Linked DNA regions of Caenorhabditis elegans. The protein of the gene in region 2 interacts with the protein of the main gene of each other region in a pairwise test. Each region holds a gene or a part of one and is shown on either strand. Other genes may lie near its edges.

The links.
Region 1: the proteins of Y41E3.7 (region 2) and snb-6 interact in a two-hybrid assay, tested with the Caenorhabditis elegans proteins (one large-scale study listed by BioGRID).
Region 3: the proteins of Y41E3.7 (region 2) and ret-1 interact in a two-hybrid assay, tested with the Caenorhabditis elegans proteins (one large-scale study listed by BioGRID).
Region 4: the proteins of Y41E3.7 (region 2) and Y65B4BL.4 interact in a two-hybrid assay, tested with the Caenorhabditis elegans proteins (one large-scale study listed by BioGRID).

Annotation. Positions count from the first base shown.
Region 1 is NC_003280.10:8,856,448-8,862,637, reverse strand, and holds snb-6 (V-SNARE coiled-coil homology domain-containing protein), read left to right. Parts: upstream 1-2,941; 5' UTR 2,942-3,018; coding exon 3,019-3,099; intron 3,100-3,140; coding exon 3,141-3,219; intron 3,220-3,296; coding exon 3,297-3,343; intron 3,344-3,388; coding exon 3,389-3,490; 3' UTR 3,491-3,572; downstream 3,573-6,190. Other genes in the region: npr-20 (Thyrotropin-releasing hormone receptor), read left to right, coding at 1,116-1,273, 1,608-1,725.
Region 2 is NC_003282.8:15,012,280-15,020,246, reverse strand, and holds the start of Y41E3.7 (Golgi resident protein GCP60), read right to left. Parts: upstream 6,213-7,967; 5' UTR 6,204-6,212; coding exon 6,095-6,203; intron 6,047-6,094; coding exon 5,979-6,046; intron 5,929-5,978; coding exon 5,858-5,928; intron 4,993-5,857; coding exon of another isoform or gene 4,911-4,992; exon of another isoform or gene 4,751-4,910; intron 342-4,750; coding exon 225-341; intron 1-224. Other genes in the region: qars-1 (putative glutamine--tRNA ligase), read left to right, coding at 7,071-7,319, 7,391-7,726.
Region 3 is NC_003283.11:14,842,751-14,850,844, reverse strand, and holds the start of ret-1 (Reticulon-like protein), read left to right. Parts: upstream 1-3,532; coding exon 3,533-3,629; intron 3,630-4,248; coding exon 4,249-8,094.
Region 4 is NC_003279.8:501,254-509,956, forward strand, and holds Y65B4BL.4 (Dolichyl-phosphate-mannose--protein mannosyltransferase), read right to left. Parts: upstream 4,998-8,703; 5' UTR 4,960-4,997; coding exon 4,840-4,959; intron 4,797-4,839; coding exon 4,567-4,796; intron 4,519-4,566; coding exon 4,407-4,518; intron 4,353-4,406; coding exon 4,253-4,352; intron 3,202-4,252; coding exon 3,070-3,201; intron 3,026-3,069; coding exon 2,972-3,025; intron 2,880-2,971; coding exon 2,804-2,879; intron 1,960-2,803; coding exon 1,809-1,959; 3' UTR 1,638-1,808; downstream 1-1,637. Other genes in the region: Y65B4BL.3 (uncharacterized protein), read right to left, coding at 676-777; P-granule-associated protein deps-1, read left to right, coding at 5,224-5,334, 5,386-5,492, 5,549-5,763, 5,812-5,972, 6,024-6,155, 6,201-6,452, 6,502-6,642, 6,691-6,795 and 4 more; Y65B4BL.7 (uncharacterized protein), read right to left, coding at 7,719-7,961, 8,009-8,170, 8,495-8,635.

The DNA.
Region 1 (6,190 bases), on a different chromosome or scaffold from region 2:
TTGATCATTTTTCAAAATAATTTATCTCAACGAAGTTATGCAACTTCAAAGTTGGTTAAATATTTTGCACAAAGTTCGTGAGATGTAGATCATTTCGACGGTTTACTTGCGAATAGAGAGTTAAAACTTGGGTAAACGTTTCATACATTTCTGAACAACAACATAGCAATTTCATAATTGTTTAGAAAAATGAAATTTTTTGAATTTTTTGCTTGGAGTTGATCAAGAAATTTTGAGCAAAAATGAAAAAAATAAAAATTTCCAAAAAGTGCGGACAATGATTCTAGGTTCCCGAATAAGAGTAAAATCACTTTAAAAATACGCAAAAATGTTTGAATGAGTTGTTTTACAACTTTATTCAACTTACAAAAATATTTCAAAAAAAAAAGGAATCGAACCAAAGCTTAAATCTTATCAGACGCGCGCACTCCCAACTCGGCCACCGAGGACATTTTTCAACTCAATGTGGTGGGTGTCACATTTTCGGTGGTCACGCAAGCTGAGATTTGCGTGGATTGCATGGTAAGACAGTGGATTTCAATGGTGTTTTTAACTGAAATTTCAAAACGTCATAACTTTGCTGAAACTTGACCGGGGCAGCTAAATTTTTTGGAGAGATCATAACTAACACTCTTCTGTAGGAATTTCAGCATGAGAACTCCAAATCTACGGACCCCCTCAAAGACTTCCCTTGTAAGGGTAAAATAGTTGTTTAAAAAAAATTTAAAATAGAAGGAAGTGATTTACACACGTGTAGATTTTGTTCTGCTCTCGACATGTTTACCGCATATTTCCTTGGTTTGTTTTTAGTTAACTAATAGTCTAGGTTAGAAATAACATATAGCAATGATTATATCGCAAAAAATACACAATGGACCTTTAGGGTTGAAAGAGAAACCAAAAACAAAATTAATTCTCAAGAAAAATAAAAATACTTAGAACGGGATCCTGGTTTATTGAAGAACCAATATTGACAACTAATTTATTTGAGATTAAATTTTCTTTTTGATTAGGAATCAAAGTGAAGTGGATGTTAAAACATCAAACGATTTTTGAACAATTTGAACCACCACTAATAATTTCGATTAAAATTTTAGAACTTTAAGTACTTTCAGAGTTTCCAAACTGGTACCATCTGCAATTCAAATTGGACAATGATATTCCAACCACTGTCCTATATATTCTTGTTCATATCTTCAGCGATTAACCCAATTCTATATGCATGTTTATCAAAACGGTTTAGGAATGCACTATCTGATGTAATACACTGCAGGTTAGTTTATAAAATATTCCACAGAAATACTACATATATTCTTATTTCGTATTGAGACTAATAAAATACAGAATTAAAAATCAGTTAGATAAGGTTTCAAGACAATCTTTTGCTCTTTGTACATCACTATAGTATAGATTCTGCATTTAAATTTATTTCTGGATGAGACGATTTTCACAGTCGTGTGCTGTGTGCGTTGTGCTTTGCGTCGTTTTGTCATAAGATCACAGAGTACAAAATTAGTTCGCAAACTCGAATCTAATACTTTGATATTTGTGTACTTATTTTAGGAAAACTTACTAGTGAACAAATGGACTATCTATATTTTTTTCAGGAAAGGAGTGTTCTCAAGGATATCTCGCTCCCGAAACAGGACGCTTGTCAGCGATGTTCCACCAGAAGATTCTCGATGTCCAAGTCCTGCTCCAATCAGAATGCACAGGATTCGTTGATTTAAAAAAAAATCGTTGCTGTAAATACTTGTTTATGTACATCGAATTATAGCTCAATTGTTCACTGCAACTTTTTCCTCACGAGGGACGAGGAAAAGTGGTTTCTAGGCCATGGCCGAGGGGCCGACAAGTTTCAGCGGCCATTTATCTTGCTTTATTTTCCGCCTGTTTTCTTTTGTTTTTCACAGCTTTTTCCCGTTTTTTCTTATTAAAACTGATAAATAAATATTTTTTGCAGATGCTAAAACAATTTCCAAGTAAAAAATAATGCTATCAGTCGGCAAGTAGCGGTGAAAGTGGGCAATGTAATTTGATGGATTACGGGAATAAAAAACCCAAACTTTTTCTGAAACATGGTATATATTCTGCTTAGAGGCTGAAACTACCCGATTTTTATAACGAGACCGCTGAAAAAGTTTTGAGATTTTCAAAACTCGACATTTTGTGCGAAAATCTCGACTTTTTCACCAAAAAAGTTGAATTTTGAAAACCTCAAAACTTTTTCAGCGGTCTCGTTATAAAAATCAGGTACTTTCAGCATCTAAGCAGCATATGTATCATGTTTGGGAAAACGATTGGGTTTTGTATTCCCGTAATCCATCATATTACGTTGCCCACTTTCACCGCTACTTGCCGACTGATAACATAATTTTTTTACTTGGAAATTGTTTTAGCATCTGCAAAAAATATTTATTTATCAGTTTTAATAAGAAAAAACGGCAAAAGGCTGTGAAAAACGAAAGAACACAGGCGGAAAACAAAGCAAGATAAATGGCCGCTGAAACTTGTCGGCTCCTCGGCCATGGCCTAGAAACCATTTTTCCTCGTCCCTCGTGAGGAAAAAGTTGCAGTGTTGTTCCGGAAGTTGAATTATTTTTTACGGGTTCCTTCGAGTATAAATGAACTTTTCTTTTCATAAATTGTCCAAGTTGTTCTAACATAGAATACATAGTGAAATGCGGAAATAAATGCCAGTAATCTAAGAAAATGCGGGACTGGCGGAGAAAATAAAGAAGTCAGCTTTCTCCGGTAAACCGATAATTGGGAAAAGTTTGTTTAGGAAGGATGTTTTAGAGTATTTCTACTTATAGGGTTTTTCAAACACTTGTACTACATGAAAGGTCTCGAAAAATTAAAGAGTTCTAAAATATACAATTCTTATATCATAAATTAATGCCCCGTGAAAATCTTGTTGGTTAGAAAACACACGTGCCATCATTCCAACAAAAATGAATTAATTTCAAAAAGTATCAATACATTTTATTTGCTGAAACAGCAGACGCTAATTACTTCATGATTCATCAACAACTACCAGTGAGTCGTATTGGTTGGGACGATCAAAAGATTATGAGAACAAGACAGGAATTGAATTCGGTTTGACATTTATCATTAGAAAAATGAACAATTATATTTAGGTGAAAATCATCATGAAGGAGAACGTGCAAAAAATTATGGAGAGACAGGGAAAACTTGACGATCTCGTTGAAAGAGCTCGTAAGTTTCATAAACTGGGAGTTTTGGTTTCAAAAAAATTAATTTATTAGAAGTAAAAAATTAAGATTTAATTTCAGAAAAACTCGAGGAAGCTTCAGATGTTTACGTCAAGTGTGCTGTCAAGGTATTTAAAAATTGAAATAAACAACAAGTTAATTTAAATTTTTAGATCAAGCGTGAGATGAGCTGGAAAGCCAATGCTATTCGTAATGGTATCATCGCCGTATCAAGTGTGTCTGCTTTTGCCGGAATCGCATACGCATTTCTCTGAATGTTCAATTTCATATATCAATATGATTTATTGATTTAACAGCCTCTATGTATTGAATAAAGTTTTGAATTTAGAAAAAAAACATTTTTGTTTGTTAAAGTTTTCTTTCAGATTTTCCAAAATTGCGAACAAAATATTTTAAGTTGTTTGCCACTATTGTGAATACTAACTTCTAAATTTGTTTTCTTCCTTGTAATTTTCCAGAACCTTTTCAGAAAAACATCACTTTCTGATCCAACCAAATCATTAATCCACTTGACAACTCAACGATGTTTATTTTTTGTCCCAAGACATTCCATGTTTTCCATCATTTCATCGTGTGACCCATTCATTCATCAACCCTGAATTCAAATGCAAATTCTGCTGAATCACTGATCAATTGTCTATAAAAAAAAGTAGAAATAGCTGGAACCTCGATCGAATCTATTTCTTTTTCCCACGTCACAGTTAGTTGAATAGTCGCTGTTTGTTCAATTGATACTATCGTCAATTTATCATCTACTGAACCCTTTGAATACCTGTTATGAAATCATTGTTCACTGAATATCAAGAAGCTATCAATTTATTCGATATGATTGGTGAATCCACTTTACTGTCTATGAAACTGCTATTCTAAGTAAACTGTATCTCCTCGATTTTCAGTAACATTTAGCGAATGAAAGTTAAGATAAATTTCTTTGAATTCTTTTAAAAATTTGGTGCAGATACTATTAGACTAAAAAGTTTTTGAAATAATTAAGGAATGTGTCAATATTGTAAAACATATTTGTTTGTTATATGGCTACGGGAAATCTGTTGCCGGTTTTTCGGTGGTGCGGTATTTTTCTAATAATATTTACTACAATTTTAGGCTCTGTGAAAGAACTGAAAACCTTTTTTATCTGAAACATCTAGAACGTGGAATAAAAACTCCAAAAAAAATGAATTTACAAAAAGCTATCGCACAATTAAATCGTGGACCATGTCGTCAAGATGCGGATTAATAAGCCGAACGGTAGACGTAGACAGAAGCCGTAATCTCTCTCATATTTATATAGTCTCCTTACTCACTGTGAACAGATGGCGCTCGTCCGTATCCTCCCGGGATGACCTAGTACTACTTTGGTTCAACGCGCAGACATAATGACCTTGCATTTCCTTTTTCCCGTTCGTTAAATTATATTTATGAAATAACTCTACTCTCGTTGTGTTATCATTCTTTGATATATCACATCGAATGTGTGTTATTGTTTTTGTGATAATGTTTTTGTGTCAGAGTAACCTTTCAAATTAAATTTCAAAATTATTTAAAATACTGTAATTCCTGCATTCAAATAAAACTTCATTCCTATTAAAAATCTGCAACATTCGCCAACTCAATTTTATTTCTAAAACACGTTTCTGGATTAGTTTCTCGGTATTCACGCTATAAAACATAATTAGGTCACTGGAACCAATTATGACTAATTTCAAGTGGTTGTTCACTTTCAAAAGTCAAATAATTACTGAAGGTGTTCCAATGTTGTTCAAGAAGTCACAGTCATAATTAGAAAAATTTGATTGTGGTCAAAACAAAACTACTTAATGGTATTAATAGTAAATGACCAAAATCAAATAGCTATTCATTCACTCGACGCAATTTTTTGGCATTTCATCATAAGCACGGCAAGTCATAAAACGAATAGTAAGTTATTGAATAAAACAGAATAAACTAGTTAGGATACCGGGCAGTCACGTAATCGTTTTGTTGATTTTATTATTCAAAATACACAGCGAAAATGAACGACACGATGAGCTGAAGCTGTTCAGTTGAGTGGGAGATAGGGAAAGATAATTCATTAAAGCAACCAGTTAATACATTTTCAAAATAATAAGTATGTCATATGACTTTTATTCGTCAATGTTCCAACATTTATTTTCAAAAAAAACTGTTTTGGATAATTGAGGAATGCTTAATCTTGTTGACCATCAAAAAGACCAAAAATAATGTTTACTGTTTTTAAATTGAAAAACATCTTTGGAAATCATACTTATTTTTCTTTAAAGTTTTTAACTTTAGATAATTCAAGAACAAACTCAACTATAATTTTTGCAGTTTGCTTCTTTAAATTGGATTTTTAGGGAAGCTTTATGACATTTTTTCATCTATTTATATCGGAGATGGTTATAACAATTTTAATAAAAGTTTCATCTTCCCAATCAGGATAAATAGTTAGCGTAACTGTTTGTCAAACGATAAGTTTGCAGTAAATAAATAGGAAGGATATTTTATCATCTTCACAAAATTCTGAATGTATCCAATACATTGATGTCAAACCCTAACACTCTTTGACGTCATGGTTGCCGTAGTTTTGCAATTTGCTACATTTGTCTGGTCACTCACTCAATTGGCCTCCCTTCGACAGTTTCTAGCTGCTTTCGAAACAGTGCATCCGCGCGGAAACGCAGTCATGTCCGCAGACTTTCGCTATTCAAAATTGATGAAGGAGACAAGATCCGACATCTTTTCTCTGTCTCTACGCCTTTATTGATTCCCGGGGACAATGTTCTGTCAATTTTTCGACCATATTCTATTCCATAAAGAAAGAACCAGTATTCGGTTCGAAAATTGGGACCTGAATTTGTGTAACTTTTCGCTTCTTATGGAAACGAAAGGCACACCTCTTCCATCCTTTCTGAAACCAATTGAATTTCACTTTTCGTGTTCTCTTTCAAACTCTC
Region 2 (7,967 bases):
TGTCGGAAAAATGCCATCAGAAAATAAAAAAATGAATGATTTTACATCATATCCCTTCTGTTTTCCTAGTTCTAATTCTACTTGTTATTCACTTTTACTCAAATGTTTATTGCCAACAATTTTCTTTTTATTCAATGCGACTATATACTTTATAAGTGATCAAAGTATACGTTTTTAGGGTCAAAAAATTCAAAATTAAAACTGAAAAAAAAATCAAAACTCACATAGCCTTCTTATCGGCAATGAATCCCTTGAACGGCGGACACACACGATCGACGAGGAAGACGAACGAGGCCATCGCTTCGTCGCGGGACAACGAGCCCAGCTCACGCCAAGCTTTGCTGAAAATAAGAAAAAAAAAATTAAGATTAAATACGTAACGGAATGGAAAAAAAACGAAGAAATAACCGCTTGAGCTTCTTTACTTCAAGCTTGGCTATTAGGTTTCAGTTGTTTTTCGATTGGGATAGAAAAAGAGCAAGCATTCGTCATATAATCTCGAGATGTAACACAGAACAACATTCAATTTATCATCATGCGGGACTGGAGATAATGACGTCATGAAAGAGCCCAAGTATGTAATACGTGGCCGTTGGGGAGAGAGAAAACTCGGCCAGGTCACTCAGATTCGCAATTTGGCTCTTTTAGCAGGAAAATTTCGAGCAAACATCGCGGAAAAACTAGATCAACAGATCTAAGAAAGCGGTTTTTGGTACGTGGCCTAGAAAAATCATAAAACTCGGCCGGCCAATCATTGATTTCACACGGCACGTGATGCCAAGCTGTCCCATTACAGTTTGATCTACAAAAAGTGCGGGACATTTTTGCCCAAAAAACTCACGTCAGCACGCTCTTAACTATGCTAAATCAGTTGAGAACTCTGCGTCTCTCTTCTCCCGCATTTTTTGTAGATCTACGTAGATCAAACCGAAATGAGACACTCTGACACCACCGTGTACAGTTGTGACGTCATAAATGTGTTTAATTACATTTTGCAATATTACTTGAATTCCATAAGAGCGGTTTTTGGAACATGGCCTAGAAAAATCAAAAATTCGCCCAATCGTTGATTTTTCACTGTAAGAAGCTTGGCGATTTTTGGGTGGCCGAGTTTTTCTATTTCGCACGGCCACGTAGTAAAACTGCTCTGTGCACTGCATTGAAAGCGAGTGAACAAGAAAACTACAGTAATCCTACAGTACTTTCTGATGATTTCAAATCAAAAAATGAGATTTCTCAACGGAAAAATAGCGAATCCAATGCAAGAATTTCCAGTTTTTTTGGAAATCTTTTTTGGGGCAGAATTTCAAGACCGCCCCGAGCCCAACAATTGGAGCCAATCAAAAAGCGCCCAAGCAGGGAGTAGATCACCAAAAAGTGCTGAAAACTCCATCTCTCTCTCTCTCATGGGGCATGTGACACACCAAACACCTTCTCAAATCTATCAATTACATCTTCTATTCCGCAAAAAAAAAGTGCATGCACACAGGGAAAGAGCCGGAGAAAAGAGCACATCAGACACCCCCGCCAATAGGTGATATCGAAGAAAAAAGGGGAAGAAAAGGAACACTCTTGTGTTATTCAAGGTAGGAAAAGCAGCAAATTTTTCACTCATTTTCCTCTCAGTCAGCTCAAAAAGAGAAAGGATTAGCCGAGAAAGAGAGAGAGGATTTCAGGATTTGAGGAGGAGGAAGAAGCCAAGTGAAGTGCTCAAAAGCTACAAAAACACTTGAAAATTGGGTGGAAGAGGAGGAGACCCTTAATTTGTAAAATTGAAAAAAAGACAAGAATTCCGAAAGTTCATTTGGGTAGTTGGGTTTTACCACACAATTTGATTACCAACTCGTCCAAATTTTGATCTATGACCACTCAGAAAAGGCTTTCAGTTGAGTAGATAGACATATAGTCATAAATCTCGGACAAATAGCCGCTTTTTATAGTCATCTATTTTTTTTTATAGACTTGCAATTATATCGGAAGAGTTGAAGATGTTGAGTAGATCATTTTCTCGTCAACTACAGTAACCCGGCAACATAATAGCTAAGTGGTGTCAGCCTGTCCCATCACGGTTTGATCTACAAAAAATGCGGGAATTTTTCGCCAAGAAAAATGTGCCGTCAGAAAGCTCTTAGTCGTGCAAAATCAGCTGAGAAGTCTGCGTCTAAATACCCGCCATTTTCGTAGATCTACGCACGTGGTGTTAAAGTGTCCCATTTTGGTTTAATCTTCGAAAAATTCGACGCAGGCTTTTCAACTGATTTCGCATGGTTAAGAGTGTGCTGACGTCACACTTTCCTGGAGGAAACATTCCCGCATTTTTTGTAGATCAAACCGCAATGAGACAGGCTCACACCACGTGTCTACGTAGATCTAACCTCGGGCTCAGAGAACCTGGTAAGAAGGAGACAGTGGCCAAAACCTTCTACCGTTGTCAGGTAGGTTCCGATTAGAGCTGTGCGGCTGATGACTCGGCTGATGGAGACAATCAAGTTTTTCAACGTGTTAGCACTGATCAATTAAAGAATATTTGTATTTGCAGTATTGGCTGAGTCATGAGCTTCTTATTCTAGAAAAAAGTTTTTTTTAAAAGTGCACACACCTTGACAAAACAGTCGGCTTTTTGAATCAGCCGAGTAACTCGGCTGTCGGCTGTCGGCTGATTGGAAAAACGAGTTTTTCTGGAAGGGGTGTGCACTTTTTTAAAAACTTTTTTCTAGAATTAGAAGCTCAAGACTCAGCCGATATGGCAAATACAAGTATTCCCTAATTGATCATTGCTATTACGTTGAAAAACGTTGATTTGCTCCATCAGCCGAGTCATCAGCCGCACAGCCCTAGTTGCGATTCCAAACAGCACAAGAACAAAAGGTTGAAAACTTGTCATCCCTGCCGTCTTGTCAAAGAAGACGTTATCTTCTGACAAAAAAAAACGGAAGAAGAAGAAGAAGCCGATGTCGTCTGTCCAACTAGTCGTCGTCCCCACATCCCTTCCAACACCATCATCTTATTAGCATTCCTCGCGTCCTTGTCACTTCTTTTTCCCTTCTTGTTAAGTTAGATTTTTGGGTTGAGGAAGAAGGCGAAGTCCGCCCGGGACGGCGGAGCTACACACAAATTCAATTTTGGCGAATAGAAAAAAAGGGAGGAAGAAGCTTCTTCCCCTCGTCTGTGTGTTTACTCTTACTACTTTTGTACGTCTCTTGGATGGAAAGAAACGGAAAACGTGAGTCAGAAGAACAGACCAGAGTAGCGAGAGAATCCCCACACAAATTTCGGTAGAAAATTTGATTTTCCACAAAGGAAAGCAATCCAACGAAAACAAAACCAGAAAAAAAGTGAACTACTACTAAAGAAACACGAGGAAACGCTGGATATCCTCGTGGGAAAACCTTAAATTTTGCTGGAGGGCGAAGGTGACTTCTCTTCAAAAAAAAGCAAGTGTCATGAGAAAAACACGGAATGGATATCAGCACTTCCTGATTATCAGACACAAGTACTGGAATGTAGATAGACAGAGAAATATGACGTATTTCTTCTTGCAATGAGGACTACATTTTGGTTGTAGAATGTTGATGAGAGGTTCTTCCTTCAAGTAAGTACGGTAGGACATTTTCCCGAAAATTTGACATGATAAGTGGGTCTTGCCACGATCTCAGTCACGTTACGGGTGCACCGCATGGAGTCCGAAAAGTCTTATTCCGATTTGATCTTCAAAAAATGCGGGAGTTGAGACGCAGACATCTCTTCTGATTTCACATGGTTGAGATCGTTCTGACGTCACAATTTTTAGAGGAAAAAATTTTCCGCATTTTTTGTAGATCAAATCGTGATGGGACAGTCTGGCGTCGCGTGGTTTCTGGCTTCCTCTCATAAATTTAAATGAAAGAGTTTGCCGAGCTAGGCCATTTTGGCTCTGCCATATCTGGGCCAGAACCCCGTGAAAAACTCAGAATCCGCACGCAGAAAAAAGTTCCGTAATCAGGAAATACCGTAGACAATTGTGAAACCGCCTCGAAAACAACAAAGTAACAAAACAGAAGGATGTGCCGTCAACTTTTTAACAGACGGAAAAACGAGAGAAATAGGGCAAAAAGGAATGAAAGGAGAGGAAGAAGCCACCCAATTCTCCAGAGATTTCAGTGTTGCTCCTCTTGAGCAGGAGGAGGAGGAGAGCCAAATTGGTGGGTGTAGCTGAAATTTTCGTCGACAAAAGAGGCTGAAAATCAATTTGTGACGAATTCTCGACAAAAACTTCTTTTCTTTTTTGAAAACATGTATGTCTATCTCTTTAGGAAAGAATACAAAATGACTGATGAGTATTAGGAGAGCCGGCTCTTATGAGGTGAGCTCATGATGGATTTGTATCCATATTTGGGGCTTTTTGGCTCAGAGCTCCGAGAGCATCAAAAGTAGAAGACCTTTCGGGCTGCCACGGTTTTCTGGCTTCCCTCATAACTTGAAATGGAAGAGTTTGCCGAACTAGGTCATTTTGGCTCGGGGGTAGATTTACGGCGCGTTGCGTGTCGCGTCGCGGCTCGATTTTAGTTGAAAAACTATGTAAATGTATTTGTCCGTGTGGAGTCCGGCGAGCGATTGTCAATGGAGCGCGAAAAATTCAATGAGGAAGGCCAGAACCCCGTGGGGCTGTTATTCGTCAAAGAACTGAACGAATCCTTGGAAAAAGCCAAAATAACTGGTAGACATTGAACATTCCTTCTCTCTCGAAAATCAAATTTGCACACCGCCTGCTTTTACGATAATTGGCCACACTTGAAAAGGTTCTAAAGAAGGCGTCCAGCAAAAAAAAATATATTTCGGACAGAGGTTTCAAAGAGAAATAATTTCTAGTAGCAAAAGTGAAGGAAGAAGCCGCCGGGACACACAAAACACGTATAAACGTCCCAAATGGATTAGACGAAACAAGACGGCGAGTGGTGGAGCAGGAGGAGGAACACGAATTTGTACTGACGAGCAACAAAGTTCGAAAAATCGCTGAAAACGGCTCTATTTGAGGTGCAAAATTGCCATAAAATAGGTTATTTTGACAGCTTTTTCAGATTTGCTGCTTAATTTCAGAGGAGAAGGCACTAAAATTGGAGGATTTTAGCCTAAAATTTTGGAAAATTCATTTAAAGTTTGAGAATGGCTTGAGGGCGCCAGAAGAGAAGCCTAGAAAACTGAATTTGTAAAAAAAAACTGTAAAAAAATTATAAAATTGGATTTTTTTTCCAACTTTCTGAAATTTTCAGCTACATAGTTTTGCGTGGAAGAATTGTGAATTTCGCCAGAAAACCAGCGTTTTCTCTCTTTTTTGGAGCTCGTTTTCCACTTTTTGTTGATTTTTTTCAATAAAATGCCGATTTTACTTGTCATATTATCTTTTTTTCGAATTAAAATGTTATAAAATTTAATTCTCATAAGATTATAAGGATATTCAGATTAAATTAATTACTAGAATTTAATTGGATAACCTTTTAATTCGATAAAAAAAGAATAAAACTAGTAAAATCGACATTAAAAAACGGTGCCACAGGGTTGCAAAATTACGCCCCGCCTCTTTTTCTGTGCAAAATTCACGGATCGATTCAATTTTTGATCAAATTTCTGAAGAAAAACCGCTAAAAATTAATTAAATCAGAAGAAAAGTTGCCAATTCTCCGAGATTTCTATCCTGGAATAGAATAGGAAATGAAAAACAAAATGAAATTTTTTGGAGATTGCGTCTTCGTGTGTCCTTCTTCTTTTTTTTCTCCAATTTTGTTCATCATTTTCGAGAAATGAGGGTGTGGGGGGAAATTGGAAAAGGAATAGAGTGTTTTCTTTTTTTTTGTTAGAATTTTGATTGAAAATCACCCACTTCACATCGTTTCCAGTGATATCTAGCCATCCAGCGTTGTCAAATTCATCGGAAATCTCTCCATGTTGGACCTGGAATTTAATTTTTATTTAATTTTTGATTTTAAAACTGGAATTTTCACTTGTTTGCTCAACGAGAGCAATTTAATGCGATCTTCATATCCAACAGGCTCCTGTTTCCCGACGTGTTCTGGAAAAAAACTCATTTTTTAAAAAGAATTTTTAAATCAAAAAATACCTTTTTTATAATATTGAACGGCAAGCTTGTAGCATTCCTCGAGAGAATGTCCGAATTCCGACTGAATCAGTTGAACCTCGCTTAGACGGACGTGGTTCTCGTCGGCCATCTCTGAAAATGTGCGAAAATTGATTTTTAAAATGCCAGAGCGCAATAAAAATCAAGGGGAAACTGGAAAGAAAATCAGATAAAAATCAGAAAATGAGAATTGCAGCCGGTTTCTAGCAATTTTCATATGTAATTTCGACATTTTCGGTATAAAATCCATAGAAATTAGATTAAAGATCACAATTCGAAGTAAAAATCAATAAAAAATCCAGATTTTCAGAACTTTTTAATGCAAAAACACGAAGAACAACGCTGAAAAAAATGAACGTGGATCCGATGTGGCACACCATTTTGTGATGTTTTGTGTGTAAACACCGGCACGCGAAAATGCACACTTTTGCAGTTTTCAGCTGCAATTAGCAAGGAAAAGCCTATTTTAAAAGTTTTCCAGTGGTTTTTTGGCTTTTTTAAAATTATTTTTTCCAGATTTGAGGCTAAAAATTTGATTAAAAATATAGAAATATTGTATTTAAACTCAAATCCCGCGAAAAACTCGGAAAAAACTGAAAAATTTAGGGTTATTCGGCTAAAATCAAGAAATTTGGAATTTCTCCAGATGTTTGCAACTTTATCATAATTCCTTATTGTAAAAACTGTTTTCTCACTCAATTATTCAAGATTTTCCCGAGATTCGACGAAAAATCTTCTAAATTCTCCCTAAATTTTGTATTTTCAAGGTTTTTTAGGCTGTTTCAGGAAGCGATTTGCTTTTTTTTCAGTTTTTCTATAGATTGCAACTTTCCGCGAAACTCAGAAAACGGAAAACTGGACTTTCTTTAAAAACATTTATTTTCTAGAATTTTCTTCCGCTTCTCCACTTTCTAACTTCAAATTATTCAAAAAAATTCACAAATTTTCCAGGGTAAAAATGGCAACAAAGGAGGAGCTTCTCTCTTTGGGCCTCTCTGATTCAAAAGTAGCTGAAACGCTGAAAAATGTGAAGCTCACCGAAACGATCGGTTCAATTGTGAAGCTTGCGAGCGAGTCTGGCGAGATTTCCAAGCAAAAAGGAACACTTTTGTACCAGTTGGCGACAAAGTTGAAGCCACAAGTCGCTGCTCACACTCCACTAGTTGTCAAGTATATTATGAATGACGGGATTAAGACAGAGCCACAGGTTTGTAATTAAAATTAAATTTCAAATTAAAAAAAAAACAGCTAAATTTCCAAATTTCAAAAAAATTTCAGCTCTCCGCAGCGATCGAGTATCTTCTCTCGCACACCGTTAAAGGTATCCAAGTGCCTGATTTCGAGAAATCATGCGGAGTCGGCGTTGTTGTCACAATCGACGACATCGAAGCGGCCGTTACCAAGGTGATTGGCCAACACCGCGAGAAAATCGTCGCCGAGCGGTACTCGTTCCCGGCCGGAAAGTTGCTCGGCGAGCTACGAGCTCTGCTTCCATGGGCTGATGGTGCGATTACGAAGAAGGAGGTGGATTTGAGATTCTTGGAGCTGCTCGGACCGAAGACTGCGGAGGATTTGGCTCCGAAGAAGAAGGAGAAGAAGCCGGAAGGCCCGAAAGTAAGGCCTGAAATTCCGTACTGTTCTGAAAAAAATTATTGAATTTAATCTACATTTTTCAGGACTTTTGCCGGAAATTTGGAGGAATTCGCAACCGCCGCACGCTTACTTCGCAAGCCTCGCGCGTTTTCTTTTCAAGAGAAAAAGCGTGCGAGGCTTGCGAAATAAGTGTGCGGCGGTTGCGAATCGGCTCCGCCCACTGCATTCTGTTGGAAAATTCCAATTTTTTCTTCGATTTTGA
Region 3 (8,094 bases), on a different chromosome or scaffold from region 2:
ACTTTTCGCGTCTAGATTCTTCCGGGCAGTTCCCTCAGGTGACTCTCCCTTCCTTCAATATGTTATCAGTTAACTTTCCGTCTTTTGACGGTCAGCTGACCTATGAGTGATAAAAAAATGGTGAGCACACACAGACAAGATGACCGGAGCATCAACCCACGTGTCCCAGTACTTGGCGAGATTTCAAGGAAATTTAAAGAAAATGTCTGAAAAGCGGATAAAAAACTGTAAATTCAACTGTAGAGGTATGCAGTTTTAATTAAGCCTGGTGTGTAGGCACATAGTTGCCTGCCTGGTTGCTCCGTGCCTGCCTTGTGTCTACTACAAAATACACATTTTCCGGTCTATAGGCAGGCACGTAGGCAGGTAGCCATGAAAAAAAACTATGTTTATCATATCCTCATTTTTCAAAAGCTCAACATTTTTTGAAGTTTTGGCAATAAATTGTTTGTTGCAAAAAAAATTTAACATCGCGGTATTTGACGCTTGGTTAAAACCTGAACCAGGTCCAGAGTCTCGACCAACTATTGCCAACTTTTGAACGAAGTCAATAAATTTTTTTAAATTCTGGACAAGAAGCTAGCGAAGAAATATTTATTAAATATATTAAATAATTTTTCAACCCACACAAATTTACTTTAACAGGCTCAGGGTTTTCTGTGTTCCTTTTCTTTTCATATCTTTTCTGGCAAAAGGAATCATGTGGCATTTTTGAAACTATTATAGTAAAGTTCAATATTTCATTAAACTCTAAATTTCTATTTCCATCAATCTCACCAATTTCTCCTTTCCATGAAAAAGTCACCAACGCATTTTGGGAAGAAAAAAAGATTAATCCGAAATGAATTGAAAAAGGAACAAAACTTTCACTTAACCAACGAACAAATACCACATGGTTTCTTTTCACTTTTTTCTTATCAAATGAAATCATACAGTCTCAATATGATCCACCCATAACCACACAAACCAGCAGAAAAGTGCGGCAGTGGAAAAAAAACGTTCGGAGTGAATGTTTCCCCCGGTCACGAGGTGGCGATTCAACTGGGCAGCAGCCTGCGTCTCTTGTGTCTCTAATTCTCAATCTAGCCAAGTTCATACTGCCATGTCATCCTGAGAGATGGAAAAGAAGACGAAGAATTTCTATTCTGAATTTGTATGTGTGTGTAAGCGTGTGAATACGTTAAATAGAATGGCAGGTAATTATCTCTCCTGCTCCGCTTGCTCCGTTGGCTACTCTGGGTGTGCCTATGATATTGCTTTTGTAGGTTACCCGTAGTTAATGTAGTCCATTTTAAATTTGTTTCCCTGTTGCTAAATCTATCTACCATTTCGCACTATTTTTTTTCTTCTTCTTCTTCTGTTTCTCTTTTTTGACTAGTTTTGGCTTATACGTTGCTCTAACATGTTTGAGAAGTTTTGCACATTAAAAAAATAAGATTTCAAAAATTTTTGGAAAATTTTTGAGAAGTTTCAGCGTAATTTCAGAGTTAAAATTCAGATAAATTTTGAGCGATTTTTTTAATAAAAAATTAATAAATTATTTAGAAACGTTTTTTTTTGTTTTGAGACATTTCTTGTGCAATTTGTGTTCAATTTTTGAGCACTATAAAAAATAATTTTCCATATTTACGGTGCAATTCTAACAATGCTGAGTTCCCAATTTTTCCTGACGTTCTCCAACTTTTCTGACATGCCGTCAACTCTTTCATGAATTCCAAATATGAATGTTCCGTTTTGTTACTTCAAACTAAGTTTATACTGACAACTTCCTTTTTTTGGAAATGATTCATTTAGACTTGATATAATTAATTACCTGCCATTAGGTTTCTATCTTCTTTTCTATTGGCAGAATTATCTATCTTCTCTCGATCTTTTTTTTTATTTTGTTTTTTGTTTCATTTTCATTTTTTTTTCTCAAAATTTCATTTCACAACTTTCTCAAGTTACTCGATCAACTTCTTTCTTCTTTTCCAAAACTTTTTTCTGACAAAAAACTCTGAAACCCAACCCTCTCCCCCAATCCACGTCATCAAAACTCTCTGACCTACCTGTCAATGTGATTTACGATTAACAACAGATGCCCCTCTTACATCTGAACAGCCGACACAGCACGTGCTTTAAATGTTCTAGCTGTCTGCGTATCTAATATAAACTGGCATTTTTGTATGTTATAGATTGACAATTGACTGTAACTGGGGGAATGGAAACAGTTGGAAGTTTTCAAAATAGAGGTTATGGAAATAAAAACAATTTTGTTTGTTTGCTTACGTCACTCACCACACTCTTTCCATGAACATATGAGTTGATATCAATTGATAACATGGAAAAACGAGACAAATTGCATATTGCTATATTTATTTTCGCTTTTTCAGATGTCAGACTTTCTAAATTTTCAATATTGTTACTACTAGTACTGCTTCTTTTTTTGTGAGCTTATATCTTGGCTCATTTTTTTAAAAAGAGAAACGTCAGTAGGAGAATTGTTCAAAATATCTTCTATAGTGCAATTACCACTAAAAATTGCAAGATTTATTTACAATCAAGATGTGCCAATTTTAAATTTTCGCGGCTCATAAATTTGAAAGTCATTTTTTAAATCAACCAGAAAATGGTTTTTTATAACGGGTTTCAACATAAACGATTGTTTTGGATTATGTGAATTTGAAAAAAAATTTAATAAATTTGTAATGTTAAAAATATATTGTTGTTTTGGCAGTTTCAGAATTTTAATTGAATTTAAATTTGAATGTCAGAAAAAATTCAAAAATAAGTCAGTTATTGGAACTTTTTTTCAAAAAATATTTCCTTTGCCAATAAGCACTATAAAATCAGCAGTGAATTCGAAAAAAATTAAGTGGCTGTTAAATAAGTCAATATGCGTTTGAACAAATGACGTAGAAATTTGAGATCGACTTTTTCTTATTCACATTCGTGCTTCTCTGCGTGTTTTCCAAAACACGGTCGCTCTGTTTTGATTTCAACATAATATTTAAACAGGTGAACAGACCGCCATGCAAGATTTATCGGTCAATAAAAGGAAGCTGAAAAAACTAATTTCGAAACCTTCGAGAACAGAAAAAAAAACTGTTTCTCTTTCATGGGCAGGCATTTCATGAGATTTTTAAGTGCTTTCCTTTAAATAATTTTGAAGCCACCATGATTTTGAGCTTATCACTGACACCCCCATCTTTCCCCTATTGTCATTTGAAACGTATGACTTGGATCTCTGTTTGAGCTGAAAAAGAGATGAATGAGATGAAAGAGAAGAAGACAGAGGGCAACAACAAAAAGAAAAACAAAATAGCACAAAAGAGCGAGATGATCGAAAACCCCGAGAGAAAGCAAAAATGCTCATCACCTGCGGTGAGACGGCAGCTGTCCCCGCAGAAATATCATGTACCTGTGCGGAGACGCAGGGTATACAATCACATGGTGAACTCCTCGGGGTCCCTTCATCTCGTGTCAGCACATTTTTGTGAGCTCCAAAAAATTTTGTCACGAAAAACACCACTTCATGGATGCTGAAAACGAAATGAACGCTGAAAATGTCGATGTGGAACTTTTCTTTCGAAAACCACCGGAGATCACAAATTTTGAGTTGGTTAAGACAATTTGGATTGACCCGAAAGGTGAGTGTTTTTTCATATTTTTTTTAAATTTAGTTTGTAAAAATGCAGTTTGAAAAAAAAAAATTGAAAAAGCTTGATTTCTAATAGATTGTATCTCTTGCTAGTTTTTTTTGTGAATTTTGAAAATTTTGAAGTTCATAAGAAAAAGCATTATATAACTTTTTTAACTTAAAATTTCTGAAAAAAAACTTTAATAAATGTTCCACGTATCCAAGTAGGCACATATCCGATATCTACCTCTGAAATTTTTGTTTTTGATTTTTTCAGTTTATTTCTAGACATCCCGCAAAAATGATTCAAAAAATAGTTTTTAGGCATTAAAAAAGATAAAAAAAAATTTAAAAAGATAAAAAGGTAAAAAAGTCGACAAAATTATGTGGAAATTGTTTGGATTCCGATATATTTCGGAAAAAAATCTGAAAATCAAATTCGAAAACCCATATTAAAATATCGGAAAAGAGCTTTTGGAGCATTTATAGGTCTCAAAAATAAAGCAAAAAAACACTGAAATAATTAAAAATCAAAATTTAAAAGGTCGAGATTAATGCTTTGTCAAGGTCTTTCACTTAGAAAAAATAATATTCTTAAATTTCCTTGGAAAATCTTTTTGTCATTTCAGAGGAGACAAATTCCACAAACGAGCCAACATCTGAGCATGAGCCAAAATCCCTCCAGCCACTTGCTCTTCAACCCCTTCAAACTCCTGAGTCAGAGTCCGGTGGGTCCTCTTGTTCTCATTCGGAAGTTGAACAACTTCCTGACGATATTCTCAATGAACCTCTTGATGATGAAGTTTTTGAAGAAGAAGAAGAAAATGTGCAAACTGATTTACTGTTCCGTCAGCCAAAGAATTCAGAAATGGAATTAGCTTACACCATTTCAAAAAGTGCCGAAATCAACCTGGATGAATTGGAATTTGAGGATGAGGAAGTCGAAGTGGATCTTTTGTTCCGTGAGCCAACTGATCGTCGATTTGAATTGGTTTATACAATTCCAATGATGGAAGATGTGAGTATTGATTCTCAGGAAACCATTACTTTTGAGGACATTCCACCATCTGAAGAACTAGATAACGTTGTGGAAGAAGTTACAGATGTTGCTGAACTTACTGAATTTACATTTAAACCAGTTGAAAAAGATGAACAGACTGAAACTGAGTCATTCACTACAGTCCTAGAAGCGAATGCTGGAGAAGGTGCAAGAGACTTTATCGAAAGAGTTAAGTTGACTTCCAATGACACTTTGGATGATTTGGATGATGATCCTGAGGAAGAAACTTTCCAAAATTCGTTTGTAAAATCTGTGGACTCTAAGACGCCAACTCCAACAGGAGACAATTATGAAATTGAGGATTCCTCTGTATCTGATGTTCTCAAAGATGCAGCCGAAAAATTGCAAATAATTCGAAATTATTCTGCGGACTTGGAATCCGAAAAAGATACAATTAATACGGATGTTCAGCATGTCTTCATTGGTCTTGAGGATGAAGGTGGTGTTATACCAATAATCCAAGAAACACAAGAATATGTTGCAGAAATTGGACCTACTCAAGATAATCAAGAGTATGATTCTACTTCTAAAAGTGATTTGGAACCTCAAAGCTCTGCTGATGGGGTTGTGGAAACTTCGACTTTCGAAGCCCCAGCAGTCTTCGGATTGGAAGATTCTGAAGATATTATAAATAAGCATGCACTGGAAACAGCATCAAATCAAGAATTCTCGAAAATTAAAGAGCCTGAAGTGACTGAAGTTTCTGAAAATACCGCAGAAAATTTGAACGAAGAAGTTGGAGAATCTAAGAATCCGGAAGCAATCGATCTTGTAGAATCTGGAGAGAACGCAGGCATCGAGCAAAATGCAGGAGCTGAACAATCTCAAAAAGAAGCGGTTGAGGAAACTTCAAGTTTTAAAGCCCCAGCAGTCATTGGGTTGGAAGAATCTCGAGATATTTTGAAAGATCCTTTACTTGAAACTGCACCAGATCAAGAAAACTTCAATAATAAAGAATCTGAAATGACTGAAATTGCTGAAATTACAACCCCAATTAGACTTGAATCGTCTGGAGACAACTTCATTGGTACCGATCCAGAAAAGGGCACAGAACAAATTAAAGGTTCTGAGAGCTCCGAATTAGTAACCCAAGAAGTCATTGGGTTGGAAGAATCTGGAGATATTTTGAAAGAACCAGCATTGGAAACTGTAACAAACCAAGAACTTTCTGAAAATAAAGTTTCTGAAGTGACCGAAATTGCTGAAAATATAACCCCAATCGGACTTGAATGTTCGGGAGACAATTTTATTGGTACGGATCCAGAACAGCAGCCAGAGCCCATCAAAGGGATTGAAAGTTCAGAATTGGATGTCATTGGGTTGGAGGATTCTGGAGATGAAGTGAAACAATCACAGTTGAAATCTTCAGAAGATCAAGAATTTTCTGAACTTAAAGAACACGATGCATCTGGAAATGTTGATGAAACTGGTGAGAGCGCAGATATCAAACAGGATGATGTAACGGAAATTGTTCAAAGAGAAACGATTGGGCTTGAGGATTCTGGTCTTGCAGAGATTGTCGCTGCTCATGAGAAAAATTTGACATCTTCTGATATTGACAGTTCTGTGATTCCGGAAGATGCGGAAAATGCATCTCCAGAGGCGATTGGCCTTGAATCTTCTGGAGACAACTTTATCGGTACGGATCTAGAACATGAAGAAGGTCAGATTGACAATTGTGAGAGTTATGTATTGGAAACAGCAGCTGTCATCGGTTTGGAGGATTCTGGAGAGAACTTGAAAGATTCTGTACAGGAAGATCCACCGGAGAAAGAATTCTCTGAAAATAAAGAATCTGAAGTTACTGGGGATGTTGAAAATACAACTGCAATCGGACTTGAATCTTCAGGAGAACACTTCATCGGTCTGGAACAAGGACAGCAAGCAGCTTCCATTGAAGCAAATGAGAATTCTGAAATGGAAGCTCCAGCAGTTATCGGTTTGGAAGATTCTGGAGATAATTTGAATAGGCCTGCATTGGAAACTGCATCAGATCAGGAAAGTTCTGAAAATAAAGAACCTGATGCATCTGAAAATGTTGAAGAAACTGAGCCAGTTTCATCTGCAAAGGTAATTGCGCTGGAATCATCTGGTGATTGTGAAGAAGGAAATATCAAAATATCTGCTAATGAAAATAGCGTGGAACCTGATGGGGCTGACAAACCAGCACATACAGAACAAGAAATTCCCACAATAATTTTGCCGTCTGAAACTACAGTCACTCAGCTAGAAGATCATCTTTCTGAAACTGAAGAGAAGCAAAACGAAGTAGAAAGCTCAATTAAATCAGAAAAAAATGTGATTGGACTTGAGGATTCCGGAGATACTTTCCGGGATACGAGTGGCCTTGCTCCTGCTGAAGACAATGAAGCTGAAGCGACCATAACTACAGATTTTGTTCCACTGGAATCTGCGGGAGATATTCCTTCTGAGAACGAGATCAAGGAAGTAGCATCTGCTCCTGATGTTGTTGGTCTTGAAGAATACATCATTGGAAACATCCCAAACGCTCCAGTTGTTAATGATGATATTCCCAACGTTTTTACTCCGGAGGTAGCCAATGATGAAACAGTGGAAACTTTTAGTGTTACAGCAGAAGAAGCTTCTATTCCTGTTGTTGTGGAACTTGAACCGATAGGTGACGAGTACGAATTTCAGAGACCTGTAGAAAACTTCTCGGAACCATCAGATAACATAAATCTTGAGGAGAGTGGAGCCGAGCAGGTCTTGTTAGAAAATAATATGTTTACGCCACTTGATGAACTTGAACCTCAACAGAAAATCTTAAACGAAAAAGCGGAGCATATTGAAATAGAAGCTTCTGGTGATGAGTTCATCAAAGATCACCCATTTCCTGTTGAAAATGAACAGAATGTCAACGAACAGAGCTCGAGAGTTGAAACCGTACATAGTTTCATTGGACTTGAATCTTCTGGAGTTGGTTTGACTGGAGCTGTTTCAGACTCAGTTGCCAACAATGTCAAAGAGAATACAGAATCCCCAGATATCATTAGTCTCGAAGCTTCTGGCGATGAGCTTTCAAAGCTTGTTGAAGCTCGAGAAATTATAACAGAAAGTAAAGACGCTTACTCTACAGATGTACCCGAAAGTCGTAAAACCGTTTCGGATGTTATTGGTCTTGAAGAGGCAGGTGACAAAATTGTTTCGAACAATGTTTCCAATGTGATGGGGAATCCGGATGAAAGTCAACTTGCTTTAGAACAGGCAGACAATGTCCCCGAGCTTCCAATTGAGAATTCGGAGCAAGAAACCGTCGCTGTCAAAGCTACAGAATCGTGTGATCACGTTGTTGACTCCCAAAAGACACTTGAAAGAGCTTCTTCATTAGAAGAAGACATCATGTCGCCAGAAGTGTTGGGCATCACAAGTTCCCAAACACTTTCTGATTATCTTC
Region 4 (8,703 bases), on a different chromosome or scaffold from region 2:
ACCTCAAACCGATATATTTTCTAAAAACAAAAACTCAAATTTTCTCAAACTACAGTAATCCTACAGTAATCCTACAGTACCCCTACAGTACTACTACAGTACCTTGGCATTGTCCCCCACCAATATACAACCCAATATACCTTCAAAAAACAAACACGTAATTTTTCCCAAACTACAGTAATCCTACAGTACTCCCACAGTACCCCTGCAGTACTACTACAGTACCTTTTTAGAACATTTTTCTGTTTTTCGATTTTTTCGCAAAAAAAATTCAGTTTTTTCAGCAAAAAAATTGATTTAAAAATATTTCAAGTTACTTTTTAAAAGCTTTTCAAAAGTTTTTCAATCCGTAAAAATAAAATTTTACGAATTCTTGTATTTTTTAAATTATCTGAAATTTTTTTTTCTCAAAAAAAAAACTTTTTTTTTCAAGTTTTCAATTAATTTCGGCAAATTTCAAAAATTTTAGGTTTAAAAAAATTCAATTTTTATGCTTAACATTTTATCGACATAAAAATCATTAACAACTACGAACAATTTGTGGAAAACGTTTTTGGCAGTGGAGCGCACTTGCGCCTCGTATTCAAAAAGCCACACAAAATGGTGAAATATTCCCAAAAATCAAATAATTGTTTCGCTACGAGACCCAAAATACCGCAAAATAGTAATTTTTACCATAGTAATTTTCAAAAGTGGCACGTAGACCTGATGAAACGTGTCGTTCACCTCCTCCGAGCTTCTGCCACGTGAGCTGGTGCTCCGGCATGGCTGATACATTTGTGAAGTTCGCTAAAACAGAAAAATATTATAAATAAGCGGAAAATTTCGTGGTCTCGACACGACAAAAAATAATAAAAATTATTCGTGGTGAGACCCGAGTTGTTTTGGAGCAAAATTCTCAAAATTGGGGTATCACGTGGTGTCAGAGAGTCCCATTTCGGTTTGATCTACAAAAAATGCGGGAGAAGAGATGCAGAGTTTGCTGACGTCACATTAAAAAAAAATTCCCGCATTTTTTGTAGATCAAACCATAATAGGACAGCCTGGCACCACGTGCGGGGATTAAAACCCGCGCCGCACAGAAAAAAGGCGGAGTGTTATTTCGCAACACCGCGGCACGGTTTTTTGTTGATCTTTTTCAATAGTCTTGATATTACTTGCGATTTTTGCAAATTCAAAAAATCAACAATAAACCGACCGTGCCGCAGGGTTGCAAACTCCGCCTCTTTTTCTGTGCGATGCTGATTTTTTGCGAAATTCACGAATCAAAAAGCACACGTGGTGTCAGTGTCTCTCATTTCGGCTTGATCTACGTAGATCTACAAAAAATGCGGGAGAAGAGACGCAGAGGTCTCAACTGATTTCGCATGGCGCCACACATTTTTGGACAAAAAATTCCCGCATTTTTTGTAGATCAAACCATAATGGGACAGCCTGGCGGGGATTAGAAACCGCGCCGCACAGAAAAAAGGCGGACCGTAGTTTCGCAACACCGCGGAACGGTTTTTGATATTACTTGCGATTTTTGCAAATTCAAAAAATCAACAAAAAACCGTGCCGCAGGGTTGCGAATTTACGCTCCGCCTCTTTTTCTGTGCGATGCTGCTTTTTTTGCGAAATTCACGAAAAAAAAAAAGAAAATAAAAGTACATTTACCGATAAAAGTGACGATAGACCGCCGATATACATGGAGAGAATAGAGAGAGAAATGTGAAGTTTATTAGAAAACAATTTTGTAAAATTATGATGATGATGAAGATTTGCGGAATCTGGTAATCGGTTTTAATTGCCTTTTCTATTATATTATATTAATCACTTGATGATGTACGGCTTTGCGCTTCCTCGTCCACGGTCTCCAGATGACGGAATCCACGTGGCGATACTGATCGATTGTGTTTTGGAGTGGTGGTGCTGCTGGTGCTGGTGGAGGGAATTGAGGTGGTTGCAGTGGATATTACGCTGAAAAATTGAAAGGATTGGTGGAGGAAATGAGAGAAATTTGAGAGCATAAATTTTTAAAAATCGAAAAAAAATTTTTTTTTGCTATTTTTGGGCAGAAAATGGCGAAAACGGTGTTTTTTTGGGTAAAAAATAATAAAAATTTACAATTTTTTTTGACAGAAAAATGCGGAAAAGCTGTTTTTAGGGTTGAAAAATCAAAAAAAAAATTTTTTTTTGCTATTTTTGGGCAGAAAATGGCGAAAAACGGTTTTTTCAAGTTTAAAACATCAAAACAATTTTTTTGCAATTTTTTTACAGAAAAATGAGGATAAGCGGTTTTAAAGGTTTAAAAAATTTTTTAAAATTTTTTTTGCGAATGGAAATTTTCTGAAAAATCGTGCAAATGCCTAATTTGTGCAAAAATCTTATCTGGTCAATGATTTTTAAGAGAAAACACCGGTTTTAGAAGGGAAAAAGGCAAAAAACTGGATTTCCAGTGAATTTTATACTAAAAATGGAAAAAATTCAGAAATTTTTTAAGGAAAAATCAGAATTTTCGCAATTTCTACACGAAATATATAGAAATTGAGGAGAACCTCGGATTTTTTGCGGAGTTTAAACAATAATTTTTCGGCTAAAATTAACGATTTTCAGAGAAAAAACTTAAAAAAAACAGAATTTCAGTGAATTTTACACGAAAAACGTAGCAAAAAGAGGTTTTTAGGGAATTTCCAAGTCAAATTTCCGAAATTCTTGCGATTTCAACCCTGAAAAATAGCGAAATTGAGGAAAATCTCGGATTTTTGCAGATAAATAATATTTTTTCCAATGATTTCCGTCTCCAAAACACAGAATAATTTACCAATTCGACGATGGTGAGGAGGGAGAGCCCAGCTCGTTGGTGACAGCCGTGAGATCCGAGAACAAATTGACGCTGGCTGAAAAAATGGAATAAACGCTAAATTGATGATTTCCGCTATTAAAGTGCATATAGAAATACGAAAAAGCAAAAAAAAAAATTTTTTTTAACCTTTTCCCTGGAATCGAAGAGCAGTTTGCTTGCGGATTGGACGTCGAAAAGGGCCTAAAATTCTCATTTTTCGGCCTGAAATTCCTCGAAAAACCCACTATTATTGGTAGTCGGAGATGGCTGATCGCCTCGTCGCTGGTAATATAGCACGCCTAGCCAGAATCCGTAGAGAAAATAAATATAGACTGCCCACACTAGGATGATGGGAAGAAACGACAATCGGCAGGCGTCTGGAGTGAAGAAATCAAGATTTTTCAGATTAAAAATTAAAAATCTTTAAAGGTGGACTACACCCTTGTTGGGAAATGGCTTTCAAACATGCCTATGGTACCACAATGACCAAATATCATGATTAAAAAATTCAAAAAATTTTTCTAGATTTTATATGATTTTTTGAAAATCGAAAAAATCTCAGTTTTTGCCTAATTCCTATTTGAATTACCGCCAATTGGATTTGTTCGATGGAGCGCGCTTGCACGTTTTTAAATTTATTTATTTTATTTATTGTTATTTTCCACCGATTTTCAATGTTTTCGGTGTATTTTTGCTTGAATTTTAGAGAAAAAGTTAAAATAAATGCAAATTTCCGATTAAAAAATCACTGAAAATGCGTAAAACTGAAAAATATGCTAGTTTCAGGTTTGTTGTCGTCGGAACTCATTATTTTACAGTTTTACGTATTTTTCACATTTTTAAACACTTTTTAGCAAACATTCTGCATTAATCTTGCTTTTTTACTTCTCTTTCCGATAAAAATACACAACTAATGAAGAAAATCAGTGACATAATAATAATAATAATAATAATAATAATAATAATAATTTATTACGCTCGCTGGGAGACGTGAAGGAATACAGAATACAAAAGTTATCATTGTTCGCTTGAACTAGAATTGGTGCAGTCGGGCAATCGTTTCCATTCCATTAAAATGTTGTCCTTGTCCTTGCGTTGTCCTTGCGTAGACTCCCCCATAGTGGGCGAGCGATTCCCGAGTGAAAATAATCACGGAATGAAAAAATAGAAGAAAAATAGAATAAATTAATAAAAAAAATAATGCAAGCGCGCTCCAACGAACGAGTTCAATTGGCGGTAATTCAAATAGGAATTAGGCAAAAACTTTTTCAGATTTTTTCAATTTTCAAAAAATCATATAAAATTTATAAATTTTTTTTGAAGTTTTTTAACGTGATATTTGGTCATTGTGGTACCATAGGCGTGTTTTAAAGCAATTTCCCCACAGGGTGTAGTCCACATTTAAAAATTAAAAATTAAAAATTCTACCTAACAAAATCGAAAATTTCAGATTCTCCTTGATTAAAAGCTTTATTATTGAGTAAAGAGTCCGCAGCGTCCACACGGAGAGCGGGTACAAGATGGAAATCTGAAAATATTTAGGATTTTCAAGGGAAAATATCGATTTTTTTTAGCAAAATACCACAGAAATTGCGGATGGAATGAGTAGAAGAGCCGGGTTGACTTTCCGGGGAAAGTTTCGACGTGTGATGCTCGTCTCGGAGAGCCTCATTCCCAAGAATCCGGTTGCGATGCTGAAGAAAATCGATGGAAAAAGTCTAAAATATCCCCTGAAACCCTACCTAAAAATCAGAAAATACGAGAAAATATTGATTAAATTCCGAGCCGGCACATAATTCGGGCGGATCAGCACTCCATTGAAGTTTCGAAACGTTTCGCCGTTCCACTGAAGTCCATCGAAGCCGGGAACGGATGGCGGCTCGAAATGCTCGTCGACACTCATTTGACTGGCCCTGTAGAGCCCGATGATGGCAATGGCGAGCATTCCCACTTCCACATGGAATATCAGGCTCTGAAAATTAAAATTTAGCTTTTAGACGGAAAAAATCGATTACTTTGACATGAACTTGATCGAAAAGCCAGCGATACGGGTATTTTCGGTGCAGGCGGCCTGATTCCGGACGTGCTCCTCGAGATATATTGGAATTTGTCGAGCGGATACTAATATCTGCCATTTTTTCGCTGAAAAATCAGAAAAAATAAGTTTTAAAACAGAATTTTAATGGAAAAATAAACGGAAAAATTCGAAACTTTTTTTTCCGCCATTGAACACCAATGTGCCTTTAAGGTACGGTAGCTCTTCGTGGTGAGACCACTGCGCCGCGCATCTGATTTCTCGTGGGAAATTTGTTTCGAATCCTACGTTTTTTACAGATTTTTCTTTTTTTTCGTTTCGCTCATCATTTTTTTGTTGCAAAAAATCCAATTTTCAGACAAAAATGTCAGAACGCCAATCCAAATATTTTGACTATCAAGGTATCGTCATTTCCTCCACTGGACAAGATAACCAAGATTCGGAGACGGACCTCGTTTATCTCATTCAAGCTCATGTACGTGAATTCCCTCCGTTTTCATATTTAAAATAATAAGCTCGTTTTCAGGGAAAAGCGGCCCCGAAGAACATCATGTACGGTGTCTCCAAGTGCGCATTTGTTCCAACAAACTTGGAGAGGAATTTCGATAATATCGAAGAGGCAAAAAATCTTGAGTCAGTATTTATTTGATTTGAGCCCATTTTTAATCTGTTAACACTTGAATTTTTAGACGTCGATCCAAAATCCCGCTAAAGTTCGGTGAAGTCATCCTATGGAACGAATCGGACTGTGATCACGATAAGAGGATAATCCTTCATATCAAACGAGAAAAACCAATTTATGAAGCGTCTTCCAGCAGAAATGGACTTATTTTGAAAGTCGGTGGCGTCATCCAGCCCACCTCAACGACCTCGTTCTGGACGCCATTATGCACCGTCACCATGCGTATGTTTCTTCTTGATTTTCGTCTCTCTAACCATATATTTATTTCAGCAGAGACAGAGGCGACCCGTGCGGAGCCAGACGTTTGGCTATACGCCTGGATTCGATTCGAAACTACCATGAAGAGTGGTCTAGATCCTTTCAATATGACTGCAACATTCGAATCGTTTGACAGTTGCGATCCATCCGACCAAGCACGCGTCTGTGAAGCGGTATTTGCTTTTTAAAAATTTTTTACGGGATTTTGAACAAATAACTTTCAGCCATGGAACGCAGGCTCTCCTGACTCTAAATTCGGTGTTTGGCGCCCGGATCCAAAGCCTGCTGATAGCGACGACGAAATTGATATCGAGCCGAGAGAAGGCTGGCACTTGCCAGAAGACAAATGGGCCGAGGTTAAGGTTGCTTTGTGGATTCTCGTTGACAATTTGATTTTGCAGGTCATCAAGATGCAGCTTGGCCTGTATGTCGGCGAACGCCTACTGATTTGCAAAGAACTCTCGCAGTTCGACTTTATTATCCCACTGCAGAAGCCATTTTCCCGAGGAACGGACAAGACTTTGATCTACCCAGCCGTCGGAGAATACTTTCATTTCAGTGCTATTTGGTCGATGCAGCACAACGGTTTTCTGATCTATGAGCTTCAGCCAGTTCCACTTCTCAGACAGCATGTAACCTCTGTCAACGGAAATGTAAGTTATAATATTGATTTTTTTGTCCAGAACATAATTTTTATTTCAGCTCCTTACCCGCGTCGTTCCTGCCAGTATCAGAGGTCTCTTCGTTGACAAGGAGGGCACTCTTGGATTGATTGATGACCCACACCATCTTCTTTCATTCTTCGAGTTTCATCCAGCTGGTTATGAATTCTTGAAGGCTATGGTAATCATGAGTGGGTCTTATTTTGAAACAAACGCTTTCAATTTTCAGGCCGAAGTTCGTGCTGTTCGAACTTCAGAAAACAAATCTGTCCGTTACCGCATTGTTCGTACATCGGGAATGTCCATTTTTGAAAACTGGCTTCGTGATACTCAGGTCTCTAAAGTTAAATTAAACTCGTCCTTTTCACCCCTGAATTTTTCAGTTCGTTGTTGGTCCAGTCAAAGGAATTCGAATCAATGAAGACACTGTCATTTGTGCCAAACATCCGAATGTCTACTTCAAAATCCCCAATAACTTGAAGGAAGGAATCCCCATTGGCGGAGGAGTTCAATTCGTTGGAAAGCGACAAGCTGGAGTCGACAGTGAAATTATGATCACCGAATGTTCTCCATGTCCAGCGTTCACTTGTAAAAATTACTCGGTCTCTGGTGATACGGTTAGTCTTCAATTATTTAATAGTTTTTATTCTATGAGGAAAATATTCAGCGCTTGTTCCAAGTGTACTTGAAGCCAAATTGCGATCATGAGCAGTTGGCGGAGAGTGATTCGATGGGATTTGTGGATTTCAGAGAGTTGGAGACTCCATGTAGAGGAAAGTGAGTGTGTCAGGATTTGTAAAAATAATTGTAACTGAATTTTAAGGTTCCTGGCATGGGTCCGTGAATCCATTACTGTCAATGATTGTCGCCGTGCTGCTACCATCATGGAAGTATGCTCGACAGCCATCTGTCCTCCGTTGATTGCAATGAGCGCGAATTCGAGCAGAGCAACATCGGCCAGAACTACGCCAGCTGGAAGTTCCATTGGATCCAGATCATCAATTCAATCAAGAGCATCTGCAGCTACTTCAGTGAGCTCAAACGTAAGTTTATTTTTAAGGTTGGAAGATGATAAAAACAAGTTTTTCAGCGATTCGTTGGCCCTTCAAGCCGCAGAACTCCATCTGGTACTCCACAAAGCTCAACATCTTCCAGGGTCTAATTAAATATATACGCATCCCGTTTTCCCCCGTATTTGTGTTTCAAATGTTCTGCTCATTTTTAATCTACCCGTTATCCAACCAAACATTTATTTATTTAAACTTCAAGTTCCACCACCATCCCATTCCGCACAACTTGTCTCTCGTAATTTTCTCGTGCTCTAATGAAGTTGTGGTAGGTTATTCTAGTGAATACACCCATGTTAAGCAGCGAATACATCCAGAAAAGTCCCAACAAGCCGGCAGCGAGATACTCCCCCCAAAATGATGGTTGATCGGTACATCCAAGATAGGGTAGCATCGCGATAGACGTGAGCAAGTTCGTTATGCACTTGAAAAACTGAAATTTCAGAAAAGATTAGGTGTATCAGAAGGTTAAAAACAAACAAATGACATATAGATGAACGAAGCCAGTGATGGAATCGGATTCCGAATACGAGAAGCCATTCCCGGAGATACTGTGATAAGAATCTGTGTGATCGAGAACACAATGAGCACACCCACCGGGAACATGAATTCCATGGAAACACGGAGGCAAAGGTCACAGTACTGCAAAAAATGCGAAATTTTGGCGATTTTTGCTCTAAAAAATGCACTGGCCGGGTCTCACCACGACAAATTTTTGTTGTCAGTTGAATGCCAATAGAGTGTGCGCCTTTAAGGAGTACTGTAGTTTCAAACTTTTGTTGCAATCGATTTTACAGTTTTCCCGAGAAACAAAAGTTTGAAACTACAGTACTCCTTAAAGGCGCACACACTCTTTCCGCATTCAACTTAACAAAAGGTTGTCGTGTCGAGACCCGGCCACTGCATTTTTGTAGCAAAAAAAATTTGAAATTTTCAAGTCTGGATAATAATATATAATATTTTTACCTCAACTATGGGAATTTGCATTTCCAAACTATCCAAACAATCGCTGAACCCGAAAGCATCACAAATAATCGATCGATATTGTCGCGGAATGTCACGTATCGATTGGTAGATCATGAATATGTTGCCAAGTAACGCGAAAATCTTGAAAAATGGAGGATTTTGCTTTTAAAAAATCCAAAAAAAAAAACTTAAATTCGACAATTTCCTGT